Ovis aries: one gene and its partners. The protein of the gene in region 4 interacts with the protein of the main gene of each other region in a biochemical or structural test. Links are inferred from orthologs where the notes say so. Each region holds a gene or a part of one and is shown on either strand. Other genes may lie near its edges.

Region 1 (4,008 bases), on a different chromosome or scaffold from region 4:
ACCACATGTGACCAGGTAGGTGGTGTCTGTTTCCTGAATATTTACTGCTTTTTCCCGTTGGTCTCACTAACTTGAGTTGACACTATCAGCCCTACCTTCATCACAGGTATTACAATCAGATTTTACGCTCTTGAAGGATATACTCACACTGATAGTAACAACCCCATATGGTCATTTTGTAGAGAAGGACCTGGGTGTGGAGATTAAATGATCCAGGGCCTGCTGCTTGTGAGGTAGGACATCATCCAGATTCTGTGGCCAGATGGTACCACCGGCTCAGTAGTATATCGGGTTTCACTGTGCCCTTTTTTAAACATTTTATGTGGCTGAAAATGTCATAAAAACCTGCCATGTGACATTGATAATTAAGAATGTGTGGCTTAGGGGTGACAATGATCTCCAACATTCTTCCATTCTGGTCGCTGACATCTGCGTCCCTAGTGTGGTGGCCTGCCTGCATTTGGTGGCTTTCTATCTTGCTGAGACGTGTATTTGTCATTGTGCTTGTCGTGGGTCAGGGTGATAGCTGGCATCCATCTGGCCCAGTTGTGACAGCTCTGTGCCAGTTAACATCATACATAAACGAGTAAAAATGGAGACGAACACGGGAGGACAAGGCCAGCAGTACTCTTGTCACTTTGCAAGCGGGAACGTCCTGGAGTGGCAGAAACCCTTACAAAAGGTGAGGAGAATCGCAGCTTTATTGTGAGGAGTGCTTTGTACCTATAAGCAGCGTTTATAAATAATGATCTGTTTCCACATCAAAACATAATCCTGGAGAGTTGGCGTTCGAGTGAGTGAACAGAAACGGGGAGGATTTACACCTCGCACCGTAACTGGAGAAGGCACCTGCCCTGGTCGCGAGCTTCACATTTTCCGGCTGCTGAAAACAGTTCTTTGTGGACTAAAAGCCCAAAAAGACAGGTCTCTTCGCCCGCACGTCCCTCTCCTGGAGGGAACGGAAGTTTGAGGACGCAAAATGGCGCCCTCAGCCAACGCCGCCGCCGGCCCCGCGCTCGACCGCCCCGCCAGGGACGAGTGTCTTCGCCGGCAAGAGGCGATTCGACGGGTGCTGTACTCAGACCGGAAATTAACCTCGTGAGGGCGGAAGTTACCCTTGAGGGCGGAAGGGCTCCAGGAGGGGGGTGGAGGACCGCTTCGGCGCCCGTTGCGTTCAGTCACTTCCGGGGCGGAGCGGAAGTTGCTTTGTTTTGCTTCAAGATGGCTGCGGGGATGTATTTGGAACATTATCTGGACAGTAAGAGCAGGCTGGAGGAGCGGGTCAGGGGTCACAGAAGGGTGGGGGTGGGGGTTCGGGCTGAGGAGCTTTATGGCCCTGAAGACCCGATGGTCAGAAAGTCACAATCGTGAAGGGTTGCGTGAGAGAAAATACTGGAGTGTGTGAAGAAATAGGGGGCGGGGCAGCGGGGTCGAGGCCTCGCTCTGAGGCGTAGAAGAGGGAGGGGTTGCGCGGCTGGGCTGGGGGACGGCTCTTGAAATGCTGGTCGGCATAGCCGGGAAGATATTTGCTGCCCCTGTCTTCAGGGTCTCCGGCCTCAGGATAATCTTTTTCTTAAAGTCGTTCTGAATCGGTTATTTTAGTATATCATCCACTGCCATTGGAGCAGCGACAAAGATCTGCTCGCGATTCTCCGCCCAGTTCTTTCGAAGATGCATCTTCTCATGGGGATAGGGGGTTACGAGTGACCACTGTCAGATGAAGGACTGGAAGGTTTCTCCTCTTGGAGTAAAGACCCAATTCCCATCAGATGGAAATTTGGTGTTCTGTTTATGCCATTTGTGTGGCCCCCTTCACAGAGCCTGTCACCCTATTCTCTTTGCCTTAGCGTTGGGAGTCATTCATTCGTTTATTGAGGTCCTGCTGTGGGTCAGACATAATGGCAGGTACTGGGGGTATACAAGAATGAATACCACACGGACCTTCTCCTGAAGGTGCTCATAGACTAGTAGGACACAGATTCTAATAAATAATTATAAAATTGTGGCAAATAACAGAAATACATTAAACAGACAGTTGGTAACACTGGAGAAAGAGAGACTAGTTTACCTGGAGGTGTAGGTAAAGCTTTACAGAGAATGTACCGAATCTTGAAGGTTGAGTGTTTATTTGCCGGTGTAGAGAGGGAGAGGGGATTGAAGGTTGGGGGAAGCATCAGCAAAGGTGTTCTGATGGGTTTGTGGCAAGATCAGGGAAAGATGAGACCAGAGTGTTTAATGTATAGGACTCTGAGGTAAAAGATTGGAAAATGACACTGGAGAATGTAGCTGAGGCTGGGTTGTGCCTGGTCTTTAAAGCCAGGCTAAGAAGCTTGCACTCTAAATAGTGAGGAACCAACGGATTTTCTAAATGGAGTGATTTTTTTTTTTTTTAATAAAGGAAAGTAATTGATGTCTGGTAAATTGGAGCATGATGACCCTGGTAATACAAGATTAATTAGTAATAACAGTTCTGGTCAGAGATGAGGCCCTGATCTCAACAGAGTATTTAGGAGGTAAATATAACCGAATTGACTGACTGAGTGGTTGAGAGAGGAGGAGGAATCTAAGGTGACTTCTTGATTTCCTGTTTGGGAAGTGAGGTAGACATATATCATCAAGAAGATAGGAAATTCAGAAGTCTGTAAGAGTAAATGAGATGGAGATCATTCAGAGAAAGTATGAGAAAATAATAGGATTAACTTAAGTGTAAGCTCAAGAAAATAGTAACGTTTAAGGGACAGGCTAAGGGAATGTCAGTGATGAAATTACTTGAAAGTGTGTGAGGAGATTTAGAATCTTAATAGAAAGTTACACATAGGCAAGAAGATGGTGAGAATACTGCAAACATTTTTTTTAGGATGGAACTAGTAATTAGATTATTTGATTTGGTAACTCATTGGTGACTTAATCTTAGTAAACTGATGGTGGACCCGAGTCTATAGGTTAAAGCATTGGATGCATTTTAAAAGTTTCAAAGTGGAGTCATGGAAAGAGAATTTTTTTTATGAGAGAAATGCAAGTATTCATGCCTTTATATTCAATTATTTATTGAGGATCCTCTGTATGCATGTCATAGTTCTGAACACTAGGGAAATAGGAGAGAAGAAGACAGACATATCTAACACTTCTGGAGAGCTGGGGAGACATACCATATAACTAATTATATAATTACTTATTTAATTACATTGGATAAGTGCCCCCAGAGTATCTGCCCTGCCAAAGGGCAGCCATAGAATAGCATGACAGCATAACCCAGGGCACTTGGAGTCAGGGGCAGTCAGGGTTGAGCTGAACTTTGAAGAATGAACAGAAGTTCAGTAGGCCAAGAGGGATGGTGGAAGTGGGGTGAAAGAGACGGGGCAGGGCGTCCTGGGCAGAGAGAGCAGTGTGCGGAAAGCCAAGTGTCTGGAAGAGCACCGGAAAGTTCAAGGCACTCAAAGAAGGCCAGTGTGACAGAGCGGAGCGCGCACAGACGGGGACTGACCTGAGTTAGGTCTGGTGTGCAGCACGGGCCAGAAAGTGCAGAGTAGGACTTGGGAATATTGCAGTGGAAGTGACTGGAGGTTTATAAACGGGAGAGTGACTTGATCCGATTTGCATTTAAAAAAAAAACATTCTGGCTACTGTTTGGAGAGCAGATTGGAAGTGTGTGTGTGATCAGTGGAGGGTACCAAGAGGGTATTTGTAAGTTGAGGGCAAAAAGATCTTTTTGTAAAAAAAAAAAAGTACTTATTTGGCTGTGCCAGGCCTTAGTTGCAGCATGTGGGATCTTTCATTGCAGCATGTGGGATCTAGTTCTCTGAGCAGGGATTGAACCCGAGCCCCCCTGCATTAGGAGCATGAAGTCTTAGCCACTGTACCACCAGGGAACTCCCAAGGGCATGGAGAGGGAAGGGCTGATTTGTAAAGTTACTGAAGAGGGGAGGGTGGGAAAGCTGTGCAGAGATGGGGAGCTCGCTGTGGAGACCGGTGGACATGGCTCCTCCTGAGAAAGCAATGATGAGTGCT
Region 2 (3,555 bases), on a different chromosome or scaffold from region 4:
CAGTAGGACCAAGACCTGTACCCCTTCTTTTTCAGAGTCACAGTCCCATGGGCTGGGTCCCCACGCGCTGTGCAGAGATCAGAACCCGCAAAGCCCCTCCAAACCCAAGCCCCGGACTCAGGACCAGCCAGAGGCCCTGCAGGCCCTCCCCAAGCAGGGCTCCTAGTCACTCCTCCCCAGCACTCAGCCGCACTGAGTCACCCTCAAAGCCTGACCCAGCACTCCTCTGCCCCTCCCCCGCGCCAGGCCTGATACCCCCATCTCCAAGCACAGGCCCTGGGGGTGGGGTTGAGGGGGGGAGTAGCAGAGGAGAATAAGCAGCTGCAACACCCCCACCCAACCACCTAAAATGCCAAAAATAACAGCAGCTCTCACTCACACACACACACACAACAACAACCCCCCACACACCAGAAAGGCAAATATAAATCCAAAATAAAGGGGAAGAAAAAAAAATCAAAGCCAACTACTGCCCCCAAAAGGCTTTTTAAACATTCTCAAAAAAAAAAAAAAGTTTATTAAAAGTGTTCTTAATGCTCGAAACGGAAAAGATTCCCAAATATACAGATGCCTCTTTTTTCATAGAAATAGATTTTTTTTTATAATACAAAAAAAAAAGGCCAAAAAAAAAAAAACACCAACAAAAACAAAAAACAACATCAACAGCAACAACCCCGTAGGAACATCTTTAAGCGATTACTCAGGGCCCGGCTGACAGTTACACGTGGGTTGCGTCAGTCCCGTGTACACACGCGTTCAGCCATGTTTAAACCGATTGCATCAACTTCGAAACCGGCCCGCCCGCCGGCGCCCAGAGAGGGGGGGTGGGCAGAATGAGAGGCAAGAGTTTATCATTCATCTGTACACATAGACATCTCTTCTTTAAATAACACCACGGGCGGGCGCCCCGTCTGCACGTGCGGCTGGTGTGGACAAAAATATAGATAGATATATATAATAAAATATTAAAATTACCGACGCGCTCCCCGCGCTGCCCAGTGCCCCAGTGCCAAAGTTCTGCCGGCGCCGCCAGGGGCGCGGGCGGGCGCGCGGGCGCTCCCCGGAGTCTCGGCGGCCGCGGCGCGCCCGGCAGCGCGGGGGCCGGCCGGCCGGCCGCGGGGGACGCGCACGGGGGCCGCGCTAGCAGTGGCCGGAGGAGGCGAGCAGGGGCTCGGGCAGCTGCTTGAACAAGTTCCGCAGGGTGCTGAGCTCGCGCGACAGCTGCTCCACCTTCTTCTGGAGCCGCTCGTTCTCGGCCGTGAGCTCCAGGACCTTGTGCTGCGTCTCCAGGTTGCGCATCTTGGCCTTGTCGCGGCTTTTGCGCACCGCGATGTTGTTGCGCTCCCGCCGGATCTTGTACTCGTCGCTGTGCTTGTCCACCGTCTTCTTGGCCTTGCTCTTGACCTGCGAGGGCGCCGGCGCCGCCCCCGCGTAGCAGGCGGCGGCGGCCGGGGGTGCCTTGGCGTCGGCGGGGCTCGGCGTGCCGGGCGGGCTGGACGACGAGGACGTGGACAGGCTCCCGCTGCTGCCGCTCGGCACCGCCTGGTAGCCGAGGTAGGCGCGCAGCGCGTACGGGAAGCCGGCCGCCATGCCCGCGGCGCCGCCGCCCGGAGCTCCGGCCTCCTCCTTCCGCTTGCAGTCCGCGGGCTCGAAGCCCGGCTCCGCCTTGAGCTCCGCCGGCGGCGGCGGCGGCGGCGGCGGCGGTGGCGGGTGCAGGGGTGCGAAGCAGCCCGGGTGCAGCGCGCCCTTGGCGGCCCCCAGGCGGCCCAGGCTCACGTAGCCGTACTCGGCCGCCTTCTTGCAGTTCTTGCCCCCGTAGTCGTCGGAGAAGAGGTCGGAGAGGAAGTCGTGGTGCTGCCCGGAGGAGGCGGGCGCGGGGGCGGGCGCGGGCGGAGCCGCCTCGAAGGTGTCCGTGGCCGTGGTGGGTGCCGGGGCCTGCGGCGCGCCCAGCGGCTCCAGGTAGGGGCTGAAGTCGATGGCGCGCTCGTGCTCTCCGATGCTACCCAGCTCGCCGGCGGGGGGGCGCGGCCCGGGTCTGGCCGCCGGGGGCGCCGCGGGGGCCGCCTTGCCGCCGTACGCAGCAGCCAAGCAGTCCGCCTCGTAGTAGAAGTTGGCCACTTCCATGGATTTAAAGGCGGGCGGCGGCGGCGGCAGGGGGAGACATGCTGGGTCCCAGGCCACCAGGCGTTGCATGAACGCGGGTGCCCGGGGAGGGGGCCTGGGGCTGCCCGCGCCGGCCGGCCCGCAGGTGGCGCGGCCTCCCGGCTCCGAACAGTCGCTGCTGTGTCGCCGCCGCTGCTGCTGCTGCTGCCGCCGCCGCTGCTCCGGGGTGGCCGCTATCAGTGCGGGGGGCTGCCGGCCGGACCCTCGGGTGGGTCCCCTTCCCGGTCCCGTGCGCGGCTCTGACTCGCTAAAGTTTCTCCCGAGCCCGTTTATTTATAAAGGCGGGCCATAGCAACGGCTGCGTCACGCCCGGCGGCGGCCCCTCCCTCCCCGGGCACGCAGAGGACACGCCGCGGCCGCCCGGGACCCCCGGCCGGGCGCCGGCGGGCCGGCCTGGAGACCCGGAGCGCGCCCCCGGGGGTCCCCCGGCCTGCGGGGCCGGGGTGGGGGGCGGCCTCGGGCCCCCGCCCTGTCCACTCCCACCCGGCGGCCCCGAGATGGCGAGCGCGGAGAGGCGCGAGCCCGCCCCCGGACCGCCCCCTCTGGGCCGGCCGGCGGACGAGAAGGGAGGGGGAACCCGGGGAGGGGGCCGGGCGGCCGTCTGCTCCCACCCTGAACGCGGCCGCCGCCCGCCCCCTGCTGGAGGAGGCGCTGGCCTTCGGGAGCCGCGGCCGCCGGACCTGGCTCTCCAGGGAGGGGGCGCGCCCCTCTCCCCCCAGCCAGGGATGCTGGAGACCCCAACCCCCTCCAGCTCGGACTCCCGGAGGGGTGAGCCGCCTCCACAGCCCTCCCCCGAGTGCGGCCTCGCCGCTAAACTGGCACCCCTCCCCAGATCTGGACAGGAGGGACTCACACCTGCGGTGACTCCCCTTCTGAAATAGGAAGACCTGGGGTTGGGGGCTTGGGGAGGTGCAAACAAGGGGGCGAGCGCCCCTCCCCCGGCCCCGCCCCCCGCACCTGCCTGCTCCCTCCCCCTCGGACCACACCTGGGTCTTCTCCAGCCCCACCCCGCCCTGACCTGGGGCCCCCTCCCCGGAGGGTGGAACGGGGGTGGGGTGCCCCCCGACCACACGCTGTGTGACCTTGGACTAGTCACTTGGCTTCTCCAAGTTTAAGTCTGCGAGGGTGTCCTTACTGTTATCTTTATTAGTTGTATTAACTGTCTCCAACGCAGACTCCCAAACGCTCACCGCTCTGGGACACACATCAGAAAGAAGGGCCTCTTCCCAGTACAAAGAGGCCCAGAGGCCCACAGCACACCCAAGATCACACAGCTTCATGTTCCCCACTGTTCTCAAAAGAAAAGCCCTTATCCAGGCACCCTCAGAGCTGTTCGTCATCCCCCTCCCAAAGCACCTGTATCTGAGGCTGGTGGGTGGGGGTCCAGGCAGG
Region 3 (3,500 bases), on a different chromosome or scaffold from region 4:
TCTCTGTGCTCCAGTCAGTAGAGGCTGCCCTGAAGGACAAGGTGGACCAAACTGCCCAGGGTCAGGGGCCTCTGGGGTGTGGTCAGAAGCTTTTCTCTGACCCACTGCCCCTGGGACCTCACCTTCAACCCACAGACCCTCCACAAAGGAGAATGGGGCCAGTATGAGTCAGGACAGACACACAGGAGCCACATCCAGCCGTCCCAGCCAGGGTCCTGCCTGCCTGGGGAGGTCAGGGTGTTTCCGGGATGTCTCCTCATGGCACCGCTGGCCAAGCCGACGCCCTGTCCAGTGGTGGCACTGGTGCCTGATCATACTCAGCCAAGGGCAGGGGCACCAGTAAGAACCCCTTGTGAGGCCACACCAGCTGCCCACTCTGCCCTCACACACTTCACGAGGAGCACTAAGCCCCAGGGCACCCGGCTCCCATCCTCCCCTCCCTGGCATAACAGACACGTCAACCCACAACCAGGACATGCGTCGCAGGAGGACGGTACTCACTGTCTTCTCCAGGACAGGGCATGCCTGGCTCCTTGGGGATGCTGGGGAAAACTGCATGCAGAGAGAGCCAGAGAAAGAGTGAAGGTCAGTGACCACCGTGGCTTCGCAAGGAGCCCTGCGCTGAGTTTGACTGCCCACGATCCCCATGGCCTGCTCTTGCCAGATGATTATTAAGGCAAAACCTTGGAAACCCTGCACATGGACGGGCAATGAGGGCCGACCACCAGAACCTAGGCTTCCGTGGCCAGTGAGAGGACACCTCACTGACTTCTGACAAGTAAGAGCGGTTTTTATCCGGGATAATAAGAGCTAAGAGCAAAAAATGAAACCAAATTGCTTCCTATTCCACATTCTTAAATCCTTTGCATCCTAATATCTTAAACCATGACCTGTGTGGCTTCTGGTCTAACAAAGCACCCAAGTGCCCACCCCCACCCAGAGAGCGCCCACCGGCTGGCACTGACCGTGAAGGGTGAGCCCTTCGTCCTTGTGCTGACAGGACAGGCGGAAGGCCTCCTCCAGCTCCATCTGGGAGGACACAGTGCAGGGGTCACCTAGGCAGACGAGGGACACAGCTGAGGCCACTGCAGGCCCAAGGCAGGGGGGTTCATGATGGTGGGCGCCCAACTGGGAGCGCGTTGCTGCTGGTGACCGGCCACTCAGGGCAGAGTTGGCCAGTGCCAGAGTGAGTCACTCCCCCAACCCAAAGGCCCAGGTCAGAACCAACAAGCCCCAGAATGGCAATGAATTCACCCACAGCTCCACATGGGGTGCCAAGCTGGGCAGGTTTCCTGGCCCGGGAGAGAATGAGCACCCTTCCTATCCAGTCCTAGACCGGAAGGAAGGGCTCCTTGTCTACTGAGGCTGGACAGGAGCACAGATGCTTGGACAGCCAGAGCCAGGACATCGTGGCCTGGCTTCAGCAGGAAGGGGAATGGCCAGAGGTCTGCCTGCCCCTGCCCTCCCCCACTCCCATGTCCAGGCTGAGAGCTGCTGGGAAGGCTCTTCTGAACTGTTTTCCAAACCCTCCACTATCTCAGACGTGTGTCTGGCTACAGGAAAGGAGGGAGGGAAAGGAAAAGAGAGGTGGACCCTAGGGCGCTGGCCACCCTCCCCTCCCCACTTCCCTGAGAAACCACAGTTCAGCTAGCAAATCACCCACCAGAAAAATCCAGAACATGAGGAAGGGAGTCAGGAAGGTCAGGACTCACACAAGATGGGCGGGGGGACTCCTGCAGCCTCTCCCCAGGACCCAGCACCAGAGCTGGCCTTGAGGGGAACCACCCCCCTCAAGGGACCCTCACCCCCGCCCCCTAGTGCCTCCATGACCTGCCACAGCCTCTTCCCCAGAAACAGGAAGCTAGTTAATTTGAATCAGCTTAATCCCAGAGCTGTCCACCTCCCCAGGGAAGGGGTCGCGCCCAGGTTTAGAGAGCCACTGCCCGACCACCACACCCCCCAGGCCCACCTTCATTGTCCACCCACTTAAGGGTGAGCGGGTGGCCCGGGTGCAGCCGGCACATCTCCCGCACCTCTGCGCAGAGCTCATCGAAGGTGGTGGCGGAGTCCAGGCTGGTGATGAGGAGGTCCCTGGGCAGAGAGGACACACAGGTCTCACCAGGGGGCACATTTAAGTCACATGATCAACTAACCAAGTTGTTGATCAAATACAGGAAGCTGTGTTGTCCCCAAGGGTATGACAGCTCCCCCCGCACCCCAGAACCACTGCCCACAGGCCATGTGAATTACACCATGAATGCCCTGGTGCAGAAACACCCATCCTGGCACCTGAACGTGCCTCTGAGGGGCAGAAGGACAGGGTAAGGGGCAGTCACCCAGGAGGGGTGGGCGCAGCTGGACACAGACTGTTCAGTTCAAGCCCATAGGCCTCATTACATCGTCCCACTACCTCAATGGTGCCAACAGGGCCACATGGTATCCAGGGTGTGGGACTTTTGAGAGGTGGGAAGTGGTGGAAGGTATGGGGAGGGGGACTAACTTATTACCCCAATGCCACAGCCTCTTGAAACCCTGGAGGCACCATTCGACAACTGCCTTTGGTAGGGCCACAACATAATTCCAGACCCAGTTTGTTGGGAAAACCAAGGCACAGAATGCCACTGCCTTTTATCTTTTCATCCACACTTGGGATATAAGACTGAAGACAGCCCAGGGATTCATGGTCAGTCTTTGAGAATGGCCCTTAGAGGTAAGGCAAGTCAGCACCAGGGAACACTCAACTCCTCAGGACAGGGAGGGAGAGGTATCCAACCCCCCTCCATGCACTGTCCCACATCACCTACCACCCAAAGCAGGGCTGGTGTTGACATGAGTAAACGTACATCTGCTGAGACTCTGAACAGGAATCACACAGGATAAACTGAAGTTAGAGGGAAGTTTACCCACATCTGACACCACAAGGGTGGGATCCTCTGAAAAAAGTTTTGAAACACCCCCAACAAGAGAAACACAGGGTCCACTGAGCATTAACACCAATGGCTTCTGAATTCCATCAAACACGTGTTGACAGAGCATCTCGGTCCACCAGGTAACAGACCCAGGGCCACCAGGATCCAGGATCCATCTGCTGGGTGCCCATGGCAGCTCGTGTCCAGCCCATGGCTCACTCCCGAGGGGGTGGGGGGCACAGTTAGAACCTACCCCATCTGCTCAGACCCTCAGTGCCCACCCCAGGGCCCAAAGCTCACCACAACCTGTGGCATCTTGGCAAATGGGGAGACTGAGGCATAGAGGGGTCTCACGGCTCATCAGTGGGGCCCCCAGAGACCAAGCCCTCCCACACCCACCACATCTCCCAGACCTCGTACCTGTGCCACCCGGCATACCCATCAGTCCCCCTGCCATGGGAGCTCTGGAACTGAGTTTGCCACCCATCTATCCCGGGGTGGCAAACTATCTATCCCTGCCCCACGACCCTCACTCACAGTTCCACCCCCAGGTGGCAGCTAGTCCCCCTGCCCAGCGCTTCAGGGCCTAGA
Region 4 (3,965 bases):
ACCCCTCCCCACCTCTCCTTTCCTCCTCACAGGCCCACCCCCCTCCCCTTCATGCGGCTCCCTGACCACTCACGGTTGTCAAAGATGGGATGAGAGAGGACAGGCGCCAGGCGGAGGGGCCTGCCTGCCGGGTCCCGCACTGTCACCTGGAAGCAGAGCCGCACGGCATTCAGGTCGTAGTCCCCACGCTGCTCTTCTATGGGAACTGTCAGAAAAACCGATGGTCAGGAGAGCCTGGGCTGGGGGTGGGGCTGGGGCGGAGCAGGGTGTGCGGGTAGCTCTGGGCTGGGAGGGCTGTTGGAAGGTGTGTGAAATAGCAGGAGTCCTAGAAGAGGGTGGTGGGAATGTTCTAGACCCATCACTGACTCCACCTGTGACCCTGAATGTCCTGTCCCCTACACCCCTGCTCTCAGTCTGTTTCTCCAATGGTAGAATGTACTGAACAGGTGTATGTAATGAATGGGCACCGCATCTTGGCCGGTGAGGGACACGTGACGGGAAGGTGGCCTCAGAAGGGTACAGCAGCTGGAGGTGCTCCAGGCAGGCCCAAGCCTCCACCGTGGCCGCCCTCACCTTGGAAGGGGTTGTTGTTGGTCTGGATGCGCTGGCTGATGGCCTGCTCCAAGTCCCGCTTCTTTACACACTGGATCCCCAGGTTCTGAAAGCTGAGGCCCCCCGAGGCATAAGCTCCACTGTCTCCAGCAGAGCCTGGGCCCTCCTGCCTTACCCACTCTGCCCCTTATCCCCTCCCCCACTCACCAGGTAATCATTCTATTCTTAACCCCCTTAAATGCCACCCCACCCAACTGTGCCACACTGAAAGCGACTCCTTACTTTGGCTGACAAGGCCCTGTGCCCTGCCGCCTGGCCCCAGCCACAGTCCCTGCCAGCTCCCTACCCTCTGCCCCAGGGCTTTCTTTTACCCTCTCCAAAGACATGACACTCATTCGTATTTCAAAGCCTTTTGCACCTGTTCATTCTGCTGGGCATGTTCCTTCCCTGCTTCTCTACTTTCTCACATTTAGGTCTTACTTTCGAGAAGCCTTTCTGACGTCCCAGCCCAAAGGAGTGGGACCAGCTCCTTCACTCCCTGCCACCTCAGGCTATTCTTCCAACCTATTACTGCTTCATTTTCATCACTGAAATGGTGATTTCTAACAGTATCTTGTTCAGTTATTTGTACATTTATTTATGGTCTGCCTCTGTCAACCAGTACATAAGCTTCAGGGGAGACCGTTGGTTCAATGGCTTTCATTCTGACTACAAGAGATGTGACACTCCAGCCCCAGGGGTTAGGGGTTCAGGGGTGATTAGGGACCCACACCTTTGCCATAGAACTCACAGGGTGCTCCTCCTATCCACTGGAGAGAGGAGACACACAGACAATTTCAAAACAAAAGAATCAGCTTGCAAAGCTGGAGAGGGAGCAAGCAGTGAGGAATTCTGCCCTCTGTCCAGAAACGATTAACATTGTAACAGCAATATAACTTGCCTGCTTTTCCGATTCCCATCTCATCACCACCTTCTTCCACCCCCTGCCACCCCTAAGGAGCTCACCTGTGGATGCAGCGGTCCGGGCAGAGCTCAGCCTCATAGAAGCCATCCCGGCAGTCTTTCCCCACTAGCTCGTGAGGGTGAGGCCGGTGAGGAGGGTCCTTGGTGACCAGGGAGATGCGGACTGTCCCTGGCCCCGTGTAGCCATTGATCTGTCCAAAGTACAGAGAGCACCCTAGAGGGCTGGAATTCCAGACCCAACTCCCAGACACAGATTTCGGGATGGGGGGGTGGGGGCTGAAAGCAAGTCCCAGCCCTACTGACTCTGGGTCCCCCGCCCTGGGGCTCTGCTGACCTTGATAGTGGGGTGGGTCTTGGTGGTGTCTGTGCTCCTCTCGCCAGGGATGCTGCCGGCTGAGCGGCCCTCGCACTTGTAGCGGAAGCGCATGCCCCGCTGCTTGGGCTGCTCAATGATCTCCACATAGGGGCCAGAGGCCTGCACAGGCTCTGCAGGGGACACGCGGGCCAGGCCCATCAGCCACTGACCCCATCGCCCCTGACCCTGGGGAGCTCCTCCCGACCCACTGAGAAAGGATGGGCCACTTACCTTCGGAGAAGATGATGGGGAAGAAGTCTGAAAGGAGAGGGAGACAAGGGTCAGCAGGAGCCCACATCCTGTCCTCATCAGGGAAGGCCTGCTTCCCGGAGGTGAGGAGAGGGAGCCAGGCTCCTTCTCGGGGACACTCAGTCAGACCTGCTACCTGGAACCTTCAGGGAAACTTGGGGTGTGCGTAAGGAAGCCAGAAGCACCGTTTTCCTGAGGGAAACCAGAGATGGCCGCCTCCCTCCACCAGGGGAAACTGAGTCACGGCCTTTTCTGTTTTAAGTTACACTAAGGGAGGGCACTCCCCCATCCCGAGAGGAAACTGAGTCAGATACATTCTCCCCTAACAAGGAAACTAAGGTGGAACTGCCCAAGCCCCACTCCCGGGTCCCGGGGGGATACTGAGTTAACGCTTCCCCCAACACCCCACACCCAGGGGGAAACTGAGTCAGAACCCTCGATGCCCGCCCCGCCCCGCGCCACCATCCGGCCGGCCGCTCCCTGCGCAGCGCCCAACAGCGAACGAAGGGTCGGAAGGCGGTGAGGGGCCTCCCGCCGCGATCCCCGCGGCCCCAGCGCCGCCACCCCGCGGGGTCAGGGGGCGCCCTCACCGTCCATGGCCGGGGTCCCGGGGGCGGGGCCGGGGTCGCAGCTGGGCCCGCGGCGCGCGCTACTGTCGAGCCATTCGCCAGAGGCGGAAATGCGCCGCGCGCGCCCGCCGTCGCGTCACTGCCGGGAATCCGACCGCGCCTGCGCGATGCGTCTCCGTCGCCCTCGTCGCTGCTGCGGGTGCCGCCGCCACCGGGAGAGGTTCAGGGGCGAACGCGCGCTGCGCGGAGGATGGGCAGGCCGCGTGCAGGGTGGATAGGCTGCTTGTGCCGGCGACCCGGAGCTAGTGCGCGCCGCGCGGGGCACCGACAGGCGGCTCTCCCGGAGGCCGCTCCCGGGGCTGGCGGGGCAGCTCGGCTCGCTCCCGAGTCTGGGCCCCGCCTGGAGGGCGGGGCCTCCGATTACTCACTATGTTTTTAGGGGATTTCGGGGGCCACCTCCCGCCTATCGGAGGAGTTTGGTGATGTCACCCCGAGCCGGTCTGGAGCCAAGCTAGGGCTGCCGGGCTTCGACCGCCCGCCCCGCGCAGGAAAGGCTCCGGCCTGCTTCGCCCGCCAAGGCCAGGTGGCTCAACTCTTCACGGTTTCCTAGTCAATAAGAGTGCTTCTTGATGGTTATTGCCGCACAAGCACTTTTTAATTTCCTGTCCACCCCAGTCTGGATGCAACGAGGAAAAAGAGAAGTGGCCTGGACCTCTCCACCTGGCACTACTCGGACCGTGGCCTTCGCGGAGCCTGCTGCACGTCAGCGTGATCAGAGGCTCCGCTCCGCTTCCGCTCGCGCAGTACCCGCAGGCTCGTCGGTTTAAGATCTTCCACACTGCCGACCCTCGGGGCCAGTGGGTGGAGAGGGGTAGTCACCCGGGGGTAAATCTCTGGAGCTTGTCTCTGCAACCTGACACCTCTGTTCCGTTTGAACTCCCTTACCCGCCCCTCCTCCCCACGCCTGCCTCCCATGGCTTCCTGCTGGGGTCCAAGTTTCCCAAAGAATTTCCACTAATAAACCGTCCTGTGACTCCTCGCCGAGGGTATCGTCCCCCAAGGTTTAACCCCGTACAAGCAAGTACGAACGGGTTGGGGGTCGGGCTGGAGCACACACCGCCCCTGAGAGGATTTTTCATCCCACAGTGAGGATGCTCCACGGCTGGCGGCAGTCTTCCCCAGATGCAGGAAGGGTTTTTATTTTCTCTAAGTTCGTTCTAAATTAGGGAATCGTGTGGGAATTGGAAAAGATTGGAAATTCTGACTTGCTTTCCCAG
Region 5 (3,500 bases), on a different chromosome or scaffold from region 4:
CCCACTGCAATGGGGCTTCCTCTGCTTTGTTCACAACGACATCCTCTGGGTCTACACCTGCACTGTCCAGGGCAGTCCACACTAGCCACGTATGGCTGCTGAGTACTTGAAACATGGCTGGTTGACTGACGGATCGAGTTTAAAATGGAAAGTATCTTGGGGCTTCCTTGGTGGCTCAGTGGTAAAGAATATGCCTGCCAGTGTAGGAGATGTGGGTTTGATCCCTGATCCGGGAAGATCTCACCCGCCTCAGAGCAACTAAGCTCACGTGCCACAACTACTGAGCCTGTGCTCCACAACAAGAGAAGCCCCTGCGATGAGAAGCCTGTGCACCCCAACTGGAGAGCAGCCCCTGCTTGCGACAACTAGAGAAAAGCCTGAGCAGCAACAAAGACTCAGCACAGCCCCCCAAAGATGCTTTAAACAATAAAACTCAGCGTATTTACAATGAAAATTAAAAAACTGATACTCAATGCAACTTTCAAGCCTGTTTGGAACAACTTGGGCTGTGCGAATCTGCCTTTTCAACTTGTCTTTTTCTTTTCTTTCCAGTGAAAATGAACATCCAAACGAAGATGTGTTCTAAGTGTAAAGTACATTCTGGATTTCTAAGACTTAGTACGGAAAAAAAGAATGTAAAGTGTCTCATTAATGATATTTTTACACTGGATGCATGTGTTCATATGATAATATTGGAGATATACTGACTTAATTACAACACATTGTTAAAATGAATTCCACTTGTATTTTTTTTAAAGCTCTTAAAATGAGGGTTCTAGGGAACTCCCTAGTGGTCCAGTGGTTAGGACTCCATGCTCTTATGGCTGAGGGTCCGGGTTCCATCCCTAGTCAGGGAACTAAAATCCCACAAGCCATTTGGCCAAATAAATAAAAATAAAATGAGGAGTCTAGAAAATGTAAAACCATATGTGATATTTTTCCTGGACATTGCTGCTCTAGAGCATTTTGCCTGGCAAAAATATTTACAGAAAGGAGGTCTGCATAGACATCACTCCTCTCACGCTGGAAAATGCTTGGCTTTCTTGAGACAGGCTAGGTGTCTGATGCTGCATCCATGCTGGGATTGGCACTGGTGGCTCCCCGGGAGAGGAAGCTTCCTGAAGGCAGCATGGTATCCTTCTTGCCCCTGGGTCTGGCACGTTATGGAGGTGCTCCAGGCGGTGACCACTGCCCGGTCAGAGCCCTGGTAGCCGGGACCTGGGCCGTGTCGCAGGGCCAGACTCACCTTCTGTTTGTCGAGGATCTTCATGGCGTAGTGGTTCCCGGTCTCCGTGTGCTTCACCAGCATCACCCGCCCGAAGGAGCCCGTGCCCAGGGTCTTAATTCGTTCAAACTGATCCAAGTGGGCTGTGTTCTGTGGGCAGAGGGCTCTGGAGGGTCAGGGACCACCCCAACCCCTGCAGCCTGCGCAGCCCAAGTTTGGGGCGTCCCCTCTGCCACCAGCAGAGGGGGCCGTGGGCACCAGGTGGAACGAAGCTGGTAAGGACGGCGGCGGAAAAACAAGATGGCAGAGGGCGCATTCCTCAAGGCTGGTGGCAGGGTCTGGATCCAGCCCTGGCCAGGGGCCCAGGAGCTTCTGGCAGCTGCCTGGAGGGGCAGGGGCCACCCATTGGAAGAGGGTAGTGGGGTGGAGGAGCCTGGCAGTGTGTGATCAGGCGCCCCCATGAGCATCGATGGGTTGAATGAGGGCAGGTGAGGCGGCTCTACAGTGCCCAAAAATCCTAGCCATGTCACTTGGATGTGGTTGGGGGTGAGGGGGCCATCAGTCACCCCTCCCGGGACTCTGTACCGAGGGGGCTTACCTGAGCAGGATTTTCCCATTTTTTAAGAAAATCTTCTTTGGCTTTGGCTAAGAACTCTTTCACTGAAAGAAAGACAGGAAGACAGTGAGGTGAAGACCCCATGTTGCTGGCGTGGGCCCAGGCTATTCCTGGGGAGATGCCGATTTGTGGAAAGTGGGGTGCAGTCACCTTAACCTAGAGCCTGACCTTCTCCCTGCGCCTTCGGGTCTCCCGGCTGAGTCTGAGGGTAACCCTGGGTGGGTGGGGGCACCTGATCTGGGCTGGGGCGTGGGTCCCCTTTACTACAGAGAGGTGGGGTCCAGTCTCAACTCTGTCCACAATGGGGGACAGGGCGACTTGGGGGGTCACTCGTTGGGGGACAGAGAACAGTGCCTGGGCCACCCCACCCCCACTCGCCCCAGTTCTGACCGACATTCCAGGGCCAGGGACGACGCCAGCCGAGGTATTTATAGCCTCTGGATTTGGCGGCTCCTCTGGTCCCTTCTCTGGGGAGGCTGGCCCGGGTGGAGGCCTCTGGGGCTCGGGTAGCAGGCGCCCTTGGGGGTTCAGCTGTTGCCTTGGCCCCCAGCTGGCTCCATTCCTGCCTTTGCCAATGGAGGGCCCCTGGCTCCTGAGCCGCTTCAAAGAAAGCCTCGCCTGATGCCTGCCCCCTGCAGGCCCCTCAGCAGCCCCAGGTGAATACCACGGTCCAGCTAGCACTGAAGATTTCCCTGCAGACCCTGGGCTTGTTACTTTGTGTCCACTCCCTCTTTGTTTCACTTGCCTGCCCCCGCCCTCCCCCCTACCCAGATTTCTTTTATCTGTTTTCCCTACTCACCACCAGCCCCCCCCAACTGAAGCCTGAAAACAGGCATTCCCACCAGTGTGGAGCACCACCCCAGCAAAGTAGGTAGGGGCCAGGACTCTGGGATACGATCAAGTTTAGCTCCTGGCCTGGTCCCTGAAGAGCTGTGTGACCTTAGGCAACTGACCTCTGGGCCTCAGCTTTCCTCATCTGTAAACTGGGGATAATAATAGTAATGACCCAGTAGGGTAGTTGTGGGGACTGAAGGAGTTAATCTTGGCAAAGGGGGTTTGGATGGTGGCTGGCACAGGGTGTTAGAGCTATGTAAATGTCAGCTATTAATTTTGCTGTGAAGTATTTTTTAAGTTTTTGGGGCCTCACGGCATGGCAGGCAGAACTCCCCTGATGAAGGATGGGACCTGCGCCCCCTACCTGCAGTGGAAGTGTGGAGTCTTCAGGGAGGTTCAAGTATATTTTAAAACAGAGGTATAAAATACAGGTAGAGCACTGAATGCTCAGATCTTGAATGCACGGCCTGACGGACTCTTGCGGTATGGACCTGTCCTTGCAATGGCCCACCTGGGGCCAGCTGTGCTGCTGTTCAGGGACCCTCTCTGTGTGTCAGCTCTGTGACACACTCAATGCTTTCCACGGTTAATTCCTACACTGATGGCTCAGAGCTGCTATTACTCTCATTGGACAGATGAGAAGACTGGCTTCTGATCACTTTCCAGACAGTCTCTCACACCCACGAGATTAAGTGCTTTGTTTCTGACGGGTCACAGGGCACCAGGGTGGCCCATGGACAGAGCTATCCTCAACCCTGATGTCCCTGGGACGGGCGCCACCCTGAGAGGGTCCTGTACACTTGCACTTTGGTTTTGCCTGTCATT
Region 6 (3,942 bases), on a different chromosome or scaffold from region 4:
GATCTTCCCAACCCAGGGATCGAACCCAGGTTTCCTGCACTGCAGGTGGATTCTTTACCATCTGAGCCACCAGGGAAGCCCACGATCTTGTTGAGATGAGTATAAATGATTATTTAAAAAAATCCCCAACAACTGTAAATGATATGAAAATAACTACTACTGATGACAAAAACTGCAGTTACTGTTAATGTGCCTTTGCTTTGGGGCTTCCATTCGTAACTGTAGAAAGTAATGAATTGTAACCGAAGTCCAGGGAAGACAGGAATCTTTTCTCATTGAAACTCATGGACCTCTTGAATTCTATGTGCCATCCCACAGACTCCAGGTTAAGAGCCCCTGTATTAATGGGGAGTTCACGAGATCAGCCAGCCACCCAAACGTTAGGATGAAATGAAAAGACGCTCTGGGGGAGATAAGGCTTCTCAAACAGGAGGCCTCGTCTACTCCTCCATCCTCAACTTTCTGCCACTTCTGTGGTGAGCTCCAATTTGGCACCCACCATGCCATGGGCACAGCTCCATCAGGTGGCACCCACCCCAGCACAGCAATGTTTACCAGTCATCACCCCTTTAACCAAATTGGGAGCTCCCAGAAATGGAGTCTGTCCTTGTGCCCCTGGTACTTAACGCCTAGAACCTAACCGGTATTCAGTGAGTGTTTACTAAGCGATAAGTGTTGGGTAGTGAGCTAGGTGGTCCTGAGAATGATACTAAGATGACGATGCCAACCCCTGTCATATTGTTGGAGCCTGTCAGGTTCCTCTGTCCATGTAATTTCCCAGGCAAGAATACTGGAGTGGGTTCCCGTTTCCTTCTTCAGGGGATCTTCCTGACCCAGGGATCAAACCTGCATCTCTCAGGTCTCCTGCATTGGCAGACAGGTTCTTTACCACTAGTGCCACCTGAGAACTCCCAGATGGATCAGGATCTGTTTATTGGACTTTAACCTTTATTTTTCATTGCTCGTTATTATAATCATATATAATAACCTGCCTCCGGGCACCCTGCCCCTCTGCCTTAAGTGATTAACACATACATCCCCTCTCTAAGGGCTTCCCTGGTGGCTCAGATGGTAAAGAATCTGCCTGCAGTGCCGGGGACCTGGGTTCGATCCCTGGGTCAGGAAGACCCCCTGGAGAAGGAAATGGCAACCCCTGGAAAATCCCATGGATGGAGGAGCCCAGCAGGCTACAGTCCATGGGGTTGCAGAGTTGGACACGACCAAGCAACTTCAGTTTCTTTCTTTCCCCTCCCTATGGTTGGCCATTTCAGGAGAGATTTGCAAGAACATGATCTTTCCTTTCTCACCTCCTTCCCCTTTGTGTCCTATAAAAGAAGCTGGCATCCAGACCCCAACAAGACAGCTGATTTTAAGACAACAGTCTGCCATTTTCTCAGTCAGTTGACTTCCCAAATAATAAAGTTAGTATTCCTTGCTTCAATTAGCCTGTCGGGCAGTAAGCAGATTGAGCTGGGATTTGGTAACAATATTATGAAATGAGATAGCCCAAGTACACACTGATACCCATTCCCCTACACCACCTAACTACTGCGAATGCAGCAATACCACCTAGTCATTCCTAAAATACCTACTGCCTCACCGGTGGAGGGAAAATCAAGCTATCTTGACCATGAGCACTAAGCTTGGACAACAGCTTTACCTTAGGGTGGGGAGGACAGGAAGGGTGGGAACTAGAATTACACAAACAGACGGGAGCTTTGGGAAGCTGGAAGTGGCAGGAATCTCTCTGCCTGGGAGGGGTCTTCAGACACACCACCTCACTCCAACACCCCTCCTGGCCTGCTCGGAAGCCTCAGGGACCACTGGAGGGAATCTTGAATCTATTAATAAGCCCAGATGAGAATCACTAGGAACCACTCTTACTCAAACCGGATAGCTACAGAGACGACGTTCTGTGAACTGGGAAAGTTTGGGGGAAAATGTTAAACCATAACGTAAGACAAAAGTGAACGCACTGTACTGAAATGACATCGACTTACATAGTTTTGCATAATTAATTAAAAAAAAAAGAGTGAGTGGGTGTTGAAATGATAGCCAAAAACCGATTAAAAAAAAAAATCCAAATCGTCACTTGCCAGTCGCCACCGTCAATGTAGGACAAGGTAGGTCAAAACCAGACTTAGCTTCAAAAAACAAGGTAGGTCAAAACCAGACTAGCTTCAAAAAACCACGAGTCAGTTTCCTTCCCGAAGCGTATGGTAATAAACCCAGAACTAAGGCTAGAAGCGGCTCCCTATTTTCACAAAGTAAAAGGCCCCACCGGCTTCAGACCGTATTTCCCGGGCTTTTCCTGCAAGATCAGCAAAACCTGACGGAAGAAGGGTCCACCCGGCGGGCTTGTCCCGCGATAGCAGCTGTGCCCGCAGGCCCCGCGCTGGCTGGGAGCGGTCGGCCAGGCCCACGGCTCCGGGCCGGCCCTCCCCCCACCCTCCTCGGACGCGCGAAGGCCCGGCCGCGCACAAAGCGCCCCCTCCGCCCGCACCTGCACCATGAAGGCCATCCGGATCGAGTCCTTGGGGATGCTCTCTTTGCATTTCTTGCAAGACGCGCGCCCGCTCTTGGCGTACTCGACCCGATAGAGCTTGTCTGAAGACTCCGCCATTCTCCTGCCGCTTACAGCTCCGGGAGCCCGACGCCGCGATCTGGAGACCCGCTGCTGCTACTGCCACCTCACCCACCGATCCGCTACCCGCAGGCGGCCAGGCGCCTTGAACCGCCGCCACCGCCTCCGAACACGCCGCGCAGGCCACCCGCCGCTCCGGATAGATTGCTGATGCCTGGCGGCTGGCACGCCCCGGCGCCCGTGCGCAGGGGCGGGGCCGCCGGCGCGCGCTCGCCCCCTACCGGCCGCGGGTGGGGGCGGTAGTTCCCCGGCGCCCGCGGCTGCGCGACCATCCTCCGGGATGCTGGAGGCAAGAGGCGGGGCAGACCCCTCGCCTGCAGCTCTGGGAAGGACGGGGTGCCAGTCCTTTCACCATTTGTCTCCTTTAACTGTTTGTCCCCAGGAAGGCTTAAGTGTCCTCACAGCTGATTCCACCCTTGTCGCTTCTTAATGCATGTGTCCCCTCTCCCCTGAGGGCGGCCAGATCTGGACTGGCTGGGGAAAGTCCTTTGGCAGCCGAAGGACCTGGGCAGGCCCTCGCCTGGGCTTGACTACAGTCCGCGGACCACTGGGACCGAATACTAACTGAAGTCTAGCATCGCCTTCATCTGAATTTTAATGCATGGATACAAATTTCGGGAGTCTCATCAATCGTTATCACAGCACTTTCATGTCACTTTACAGTTGCTGGGTACAAATTGGCACTTACCAAGAGCATTGCCAATGACAACAAAGGCATTTGCCGTCTGCCTCTACAGAGATTGAACCCCATGCTGCTAAAGCTGTTGACCTTCAACAACCCTGAGGGAGTTCAGGGTGGAGTGAGGCACTCTGTGCTCCAGGGAATCTGATGGGACAGGTCTTTAGATAGTTGGATGTGTTTAGGAACAGATTTTATGATCTCAGTCCTTGCATCTCCTCACATCTAGAGAAGCACTAAATCCCTTTATGGTGACATCAGATCCTCATGACTAACAAAAACCTTTTGTAAAATGAGTGTTTCATCGCAGTGAACTCCCCCTTCACCAAAATCTTATATATTGACTTTTTCCCCCCACTGCTGCTTTGGAGCAGTCTCTCAGAGATATCTGAGATCCTGCCTCCCAGGCTGCAGTCCCCATTTTTCCCCAAATAAAACTTAACTCACAACTCTCAAGTTGTACATCTTTTTTTAGTCAACAGGGAGAACTCAGTATTAAGCACATCAGTGCTTAAATTTCAGTCACTGAAAGACCTCCCACCCTACTAAGTCACTTCAGTCGTGTCCGACTCTGTGCGACCCCACAGACAGCAGCCCACCAGGCTCCCCCGTCCCTGGG
Region 7 (3,964 bases), on a different chromosome or scaffold from region 4:
CAGGAGAATGGTGAGAAGGAGGGCAAAAAAGAAAAGAAGAAAGTCAGAGAGCGGAGTCTCAGGGTAACCACCCAAGGATGAGGCAGGAGGACTCAAAGAGACAAACCTGGAAGTAAGAATCTGCTGCACTTGCTGGGGGGTGAGGGCAAAGGTGAAGTGCGCTTCCTCAAACCGCTGGCTAGAAGTGGATGCTGAGGACACAAAGGGGCAGTTATTCCCAAGCCCGTGCCCAGGGGGCCACAGAAGTGGCCCCTATTCCAGTTTGCTGAGCCCACAGGACAAAGCCTAAGAAAGGCTTGAGGAAGAAGCAGGGAGGCCAGGAAGACCCAGGGACCACAAAGAGCCATACCTAGGGTGGTGGGCCGGATGAGCTCCCCGTAGATTTCATAGAAGGGCAATGGTTTCATGGTAACGTCAGGGTGCACAGGCTGGGGCAGAGGAGGGTGCATGTCCACTTCACGCTTGGGGCCCAGCAGGGTGCCAGGGGCCAAGAGGGCCGGGGGAATGGGAGCCAGAGGACCAGGAGAGCCTACAGGAGGGGTTCCAGGGGGCAAGGAGAGCAGAGAAAGATCAGAGGGCCCCAGGGTCTTGCGGGGAAAGCGTCGGCGGTAAAGCTCTTTGATCTTCATCTGGACGCTGGGGGCACAGCTGGACTTGAGGAGGTGTAGGGCCTTGGCCAGCAGCTCGTGCTTCCGTCCGCTCTTGTTCCGGCCAGCAAAGCCGAGGAGCACCTGGAGCTCAGACACCCGGAAACTCATCACCATGTGCTGTGGAGATCAGAGAAGCTTGAGGATCCTACCTTGCACAGGCCTGTCCTGCCAAAGACACCAGGGCTGAGCTATTAGGTGGGGAATGTGCTTTCCCTCCAGCACTGATCTGAAAGATGCTTTGCAGCCAGTGGATTGCTGCCAAACTGCCCACCTAGCCAAAAGGACATCTAGCTCCCATCCTAGCAACCCTCAGGTCACCTCTCCACTACCCCCCCAGGCTTGAACAATCCTGTCTCCCCATCTTATCAGCTGACCATGTGGGCGCAGGGTGCCTGCCACCCTACAGCACACCTCTGAGTCCACTACAGCCTCCTCCCACCACCCTGCCTTGAGCCTGGACTCTCCTTTAAGCTGCTTATCTCCTCTCCTGCTCTTTCGCAGACTCTCAGACCCATCCTAGCCTCCTGGGAAGGGGACAGGAGACGGGGAGGAAGGGGAGAAGAGGATTCAGGCCAGACAGCCCCACAGAGAAGAAAGGGGCCAGGTGGCTGGAGGACTGTGCCTCAAAATCAACTCCTTTCCACCCCTCAATCTACCTCAGCTATTTTCCCCAAGCTTTTGTGGCCAGGTCAGGGTTCAATGCTTATAACTTCCCAAACCTTTCCTTGGTGTTATTTACATAACTACTCATCCCTCAGTCCTATTTTTTCTGGGAGAGAAACAGGAGTAAAACTTGGGGTGAGGGGTTAACAGTGAATTGTGGAGTCCAGGTATCCTTCCTGTTTACCTGTTTACTCCATCTGCCAGGAACTAATAACCTGCTTCTCTCCTACCCAGAGAAAGTAAGTGATTCTTCCCTTCCTCCACAGGGGTGGAAGAAACGAGGGGAAAGCTCTAAAGAGAGCCCCTGGAAGAATAGGGAGGTGATCAGCCCCTGAGCCAGACTGCAGAACTGCATGCTCTCCTAGGAAACTGGAACCAGTGACTAGACCTCAGGCCTTCCCATGACTCTGGTTCCATTTCAAAAGGCAGAATAAAGCCAGGAGCAAGGGGGTGAACCCCATGGTTTTTAAAGGTTCTGCAAGATGGTTATTTATCCTCAAGATTCTGGTAGTGGTAAGCTCTCCGCTTAAAGAACTCACTTCTGTGAATCTCCAGGAGACCCTGCCACGGGCCAATCTTGCTAATCATCTGCAATTCTTATGGAGGCATTATGGCTTTGGGCCCCTTTTGAGGAATATAATTAAAAACTTGCTCCTCTACCTTTACCCTCATCCTTATCTCCTCGGTCCTGTCTTTATTTCTCCATTAGCTTTGTCAAGAAATTCTTTTCAATCCCATAGTCTAACACTTCTCTCTCTCTGCCCAGAGATACCGACTCACTAAGGCAGGACCTTCCTCTCAGCCTCCAGGATGCTTCTGCCCCACCCCTTCGATCTATCCCCGTACAGCCCCGCCCCCTAGATCTCAGCCACCTACTGGTACTTCCCAAGGCTCAGATCCCAACAGCAGCCCCAAAGTCACTATCCTCTCAGCGCCTTTCCCCCAGGAGCCTCCCGGTAATCGGCCCCCCAGCCCCATTCCCATCACCTGCCCCCTACTGTCACCTCTCTAGGCCTCGATCGACTCGCCCGCTGTGCCTCCACAGCAGCTTTTCCTCCCCGCCCTACCCCTACATCTGCCCCTACTACCAAATTCGACTTCTACCCCGCGTCCCCGCCCCCTGAGCCTCGGCCCCCAACAGCTGCAATTCCCCTCGGCCCCACCCCTACATCTGCCCCGCGGCCCCGCCCCCGGAGCCCCACGCAGCCCCTTCCTCGCCACAGCCACTTCTCTCCATCCCCAGCAGCCAGTCCCCACCACGTCTCCAGCCCCCACCCGAGCCCTCAGCACCCAGTCTCGGTCGCTTCCCAGACTCGGCGTACAGCCCGGCTCAGTCCAGATGGGGATGGGGGAGGGGGCCGGTACCTTTAATTCGCCCAGCTCCGCCATCTTGAGACATCGCAGGCGCCCGAGCCCGAGCCGGAGCTCAGGCCCAGGGACCGGCGCACAACTCTCCACCCCGGCGCCGGCCGCAAATGCCGCCTGCTCCGCCCCGTCCGGCCCCCTACACCTCCCCTTCCCGGCCCCGCCCGCCGGGTTTCGGACGAACCCCGGCCTCAGCCCCTCCCTCCACAGCCGGACCCAGCCGCTGCACGTCTTTGGCCGCGGTGCCAGACCCGTAGACCCGGAGGGAGTGTGCCGCCCGAAGGATCGCGGGGTCCCCGGTGGCATGGGAGAGGAGGTGAACCCGAAGTACATGGGGGAGGGGGGCCTTGCCACGCCGGAGTCGGGAAGGGATGAGCTTTGAGAAAGCCAAAGATATTTGGGATATGGAGGGAAAAGTCTCGAGAAGGGCTTAATCTCAGAGAAATGGGGGAGGGGGAAGCGAAGTTGGAGCAAACCCCCTCGTTTCCCTATCTACAAGTTTAACCAGCCAAATTCAAGAGTTCCACCAACTCGGGAAATGGGTGAGACCTGATCCATTTTAGGGACGCCAAGGAGTCGTAAATAGTTTATTTCAAGACGGCTATTCTCAATTCTTCACCCCCTCCCCCCGCCCCGGTTACATTGTATTTCATGGTCCCGCGGCAGGGCTCAAATTCGCCAGCAAAAAAGTTTCGTGCCGAGAGTGGGACTTACCAGCACAGTTGCAGGGAGCGGGGAGGGGACTCGGGACGCTCAGAGGGTGGGCTGGGGAGATGGGGGGGAGGGGGCCCGGCGCTGCTCCCAAGGTCTGCACGGCTGGAGGTCGGTCCGGCAGCTGGACGTTGCAGCCGCAGCTCCGCCCGGGCGGGAGCTCGGCCCGGCCCAGCGCTAGGGTTGGGGCCGCCCCCTCCTGGATGAGCCCGCCAGGACAGCGGAGAAGTGGGGAGGGGCGGAGTCTGAGACGGGAGAGGGCGGGACTCTGAGCCTGCGGAGGAGAAATTAACTCCTCTAGGGAGTGGATGGGAGAGACGTTCTTTGATTTCACCATTCTCACTACTGTTCTGACTCCCTGCAAGCAAACCCTTCTATGTGTTTTGAGTGGAAGTAAGCTGCAAATAAGACGGTGTGGACCAGAAATCCGATCGCTTAAAGAGGTAGCTACTTACAGTGAGTCTCTCCCTACGGGAAAGAAAACATGAACTGCTAAAATCCGAAGTGTACCTAAACCCTACTTCCACCTGTGGTCCCCTACTCCCTACCTCAAATACACAGACTGTCACCAGAGA

The links.
Region 1: the proteins of RELA (region 4) and ING4 form a complex in vitro, tested with the Homo sapiens proteins (3 studies listed by BioGRID, with this or other methods). The link is inferred for Ovis aries from reciprocal best matches to the Homo sapiens genes RELA and ING4.
Region 2: the proteins of RELA (region 4) and CEBPB form a complex in vitro, tested with the Homo sapiens proteins (2 studies listed by BioGRID). The link is inferred for Ovis aries from reciprocal best matches to the Homo sapiens genes RELA and CEBPB.
Region 3: of the proteins of RELA (region 4) and PRKCZ, one has a biochemical effect on the other in vitro, tested with the Homo sapiens proteins (2 studies listed by BioGRID). The link is inferred for Ovis aries from reciprocal best matches to the Homo sapiens genes RELA and PRKCZ.
Region 5: of the proteins of RELA (region 4) and PRKACA, one has a biochemical effect on the other in vitro, tested with the Homo sapiens proteins (4 studies listed by BioGRID and IntAct, with this or other methods). The link is inferred for Ovis aries from reciprocal best matches to the Homo sapiens genes RELA and PRKACA.
Region 6: the proteins of RELA (region 4) and PARP1 form a complex in vitro, tested with the Homo sapiens proteins (2 studies listed by BioGRID). The link is inferred for Ovis aries from reciprocal best matches to the Homo sapiens genes RELA and PARP1.
Region 7: the proteins of RELA (region 4) and PIAS3 form a complex in vitro, tested with the Homo sapiens proteins (2 studies listed by BioGRID, with this or other methods). The link is inferred for Ovis aries from reciprocal best matches to the Homo sapiens genes RELA and PIAS3.

Annotation. Positions count from the first base shown.
Region 1 is NC_056056.1:209,609,795-209,613,802, forward strand, and holds the start of ING4 (inhibitor of growth protein 4), read left to right. Parts: upstream 1-1,208; 5' UTR 1,209-1,221; coding exon 1,222-1,258; intron 1,259-4,008.
Region 2 is NC_056066.1:78,225,839-78,229,393, reverse strand, and holds CEBPB (CCAAT/enhancer-binding protein beta), read right to left. Parts: upstream 2,413-3,555; 5' UTR 2,194-2,412; coding exon 1,141-2,193; 3' UTR 501-1,140; downstream 1-500. UniProt on the Homo sapiens protein: Important transcription factor regulating the expression of genes involved in immune and inflammatory responses. Also plays a significant role in adipogenesis, as well as in the gluconeogenic pathway, liver regeneration, and hematopoiesis.
Region 3 is NC_056065.1:50,004,311-50,007,810, forward strand, and holds part of PRKCZ (protein kinase C zeta type), read right to left. Parts: intron 2,092-3,500; coding exon 1,970-2,091; intron 1,056-1,969; coding exon 966-1,055; intron 553-965; coding exon 502-552; intron 1-501. UniProt on the Homo sapiens protein: Calcium- and diacylglycerol-independent serine/threonine-protein kinase that functions in phosphatidylinositol 3-kinase (PI3K) pathway and mitogen-activated protein (MAP) kinase cascade, and is involved in NF-kappa-B activation, mitogenic signaling, cell proliferation, cell polarity, inflammatory response and maintenance of long-term potentiation (LTP).
Region 4 is NC_056074.1:40,279,507-40,283,471, forward strand, and holds the start of RELA (transcription factor p65), read right to left. Parts: upstream 2,801-3,965; 5' UTR 2,717-2,800; coding exon 2,710-2,716; intron 2,129-2,709; coding exon 2,102-2,128; intron 2,002-2,101; coding exon 1,850-2,001; intron 1,707-1,849; coding exon 1,558-1,706; intron 666-1,557; coding exon 574-665; intron 206-573; coding exon 74-205; intron 1-73. UniProt on the Homo sapiens protein: NF-kappa-B is a pleiotropic transcription factor present in almost all cell types and is the endpoint of a series of signal transduction events that are initiated by a vast array of stimuli related to many biological processes such as inflammation, immunity, differentiation, cell growth, tumorigenesis and apoptosis.
Region 5 is NC_056058.1:9,921,510-9,925,009, reverse strand, and holds part of PRKACA (cAMP-dependent protein kinase catalytic subunit alpha), read right to left. Parts: intron 1,886-3,500; coding exon 1,824-1,885; intron 1,376-1,823; coding exon 1,247-1,375; intron 1-1,246.
Region 6 is NC_056065.1:28,697,306-28,701,247, forward strand, and holds the start of PARP1 (poly [ADP-ribose] polymerase 1), read right to left. Parts: upstream 2,801-3,942; 5' UTR 2,624-2,800; coding exon 2,504-2,623; intron 1-2,503. UniProt on the Homo sapiens protein: Poly-ADP-ribosyltransferase that mediates poly-ADP-ribosylation of proteins and plays a key role in DNA repair.
Region 7 is NC_056054.1:99,195,480-99,199,443, forward strand, and holds the start of PIAS3 (E3 SUMO-protein ligase PIAS3), read right to left. Parts: upstream 2,801-3,964; 5' UTR 2,703-2,800; coding exon 2,679-2,702; intron 816-2,678; exon of another isoform or gene 768-815; coding exon 350-767; intron 192-349; coding exon 107-191; intron 1-106. UniProt on the Homo sapiens protein: Functions as an E3-type small ubiquitin-like modifier (SUMO) ligase, stabilizing the interaction between UBE2I and the substrate, and as a SUMO-tethering factor.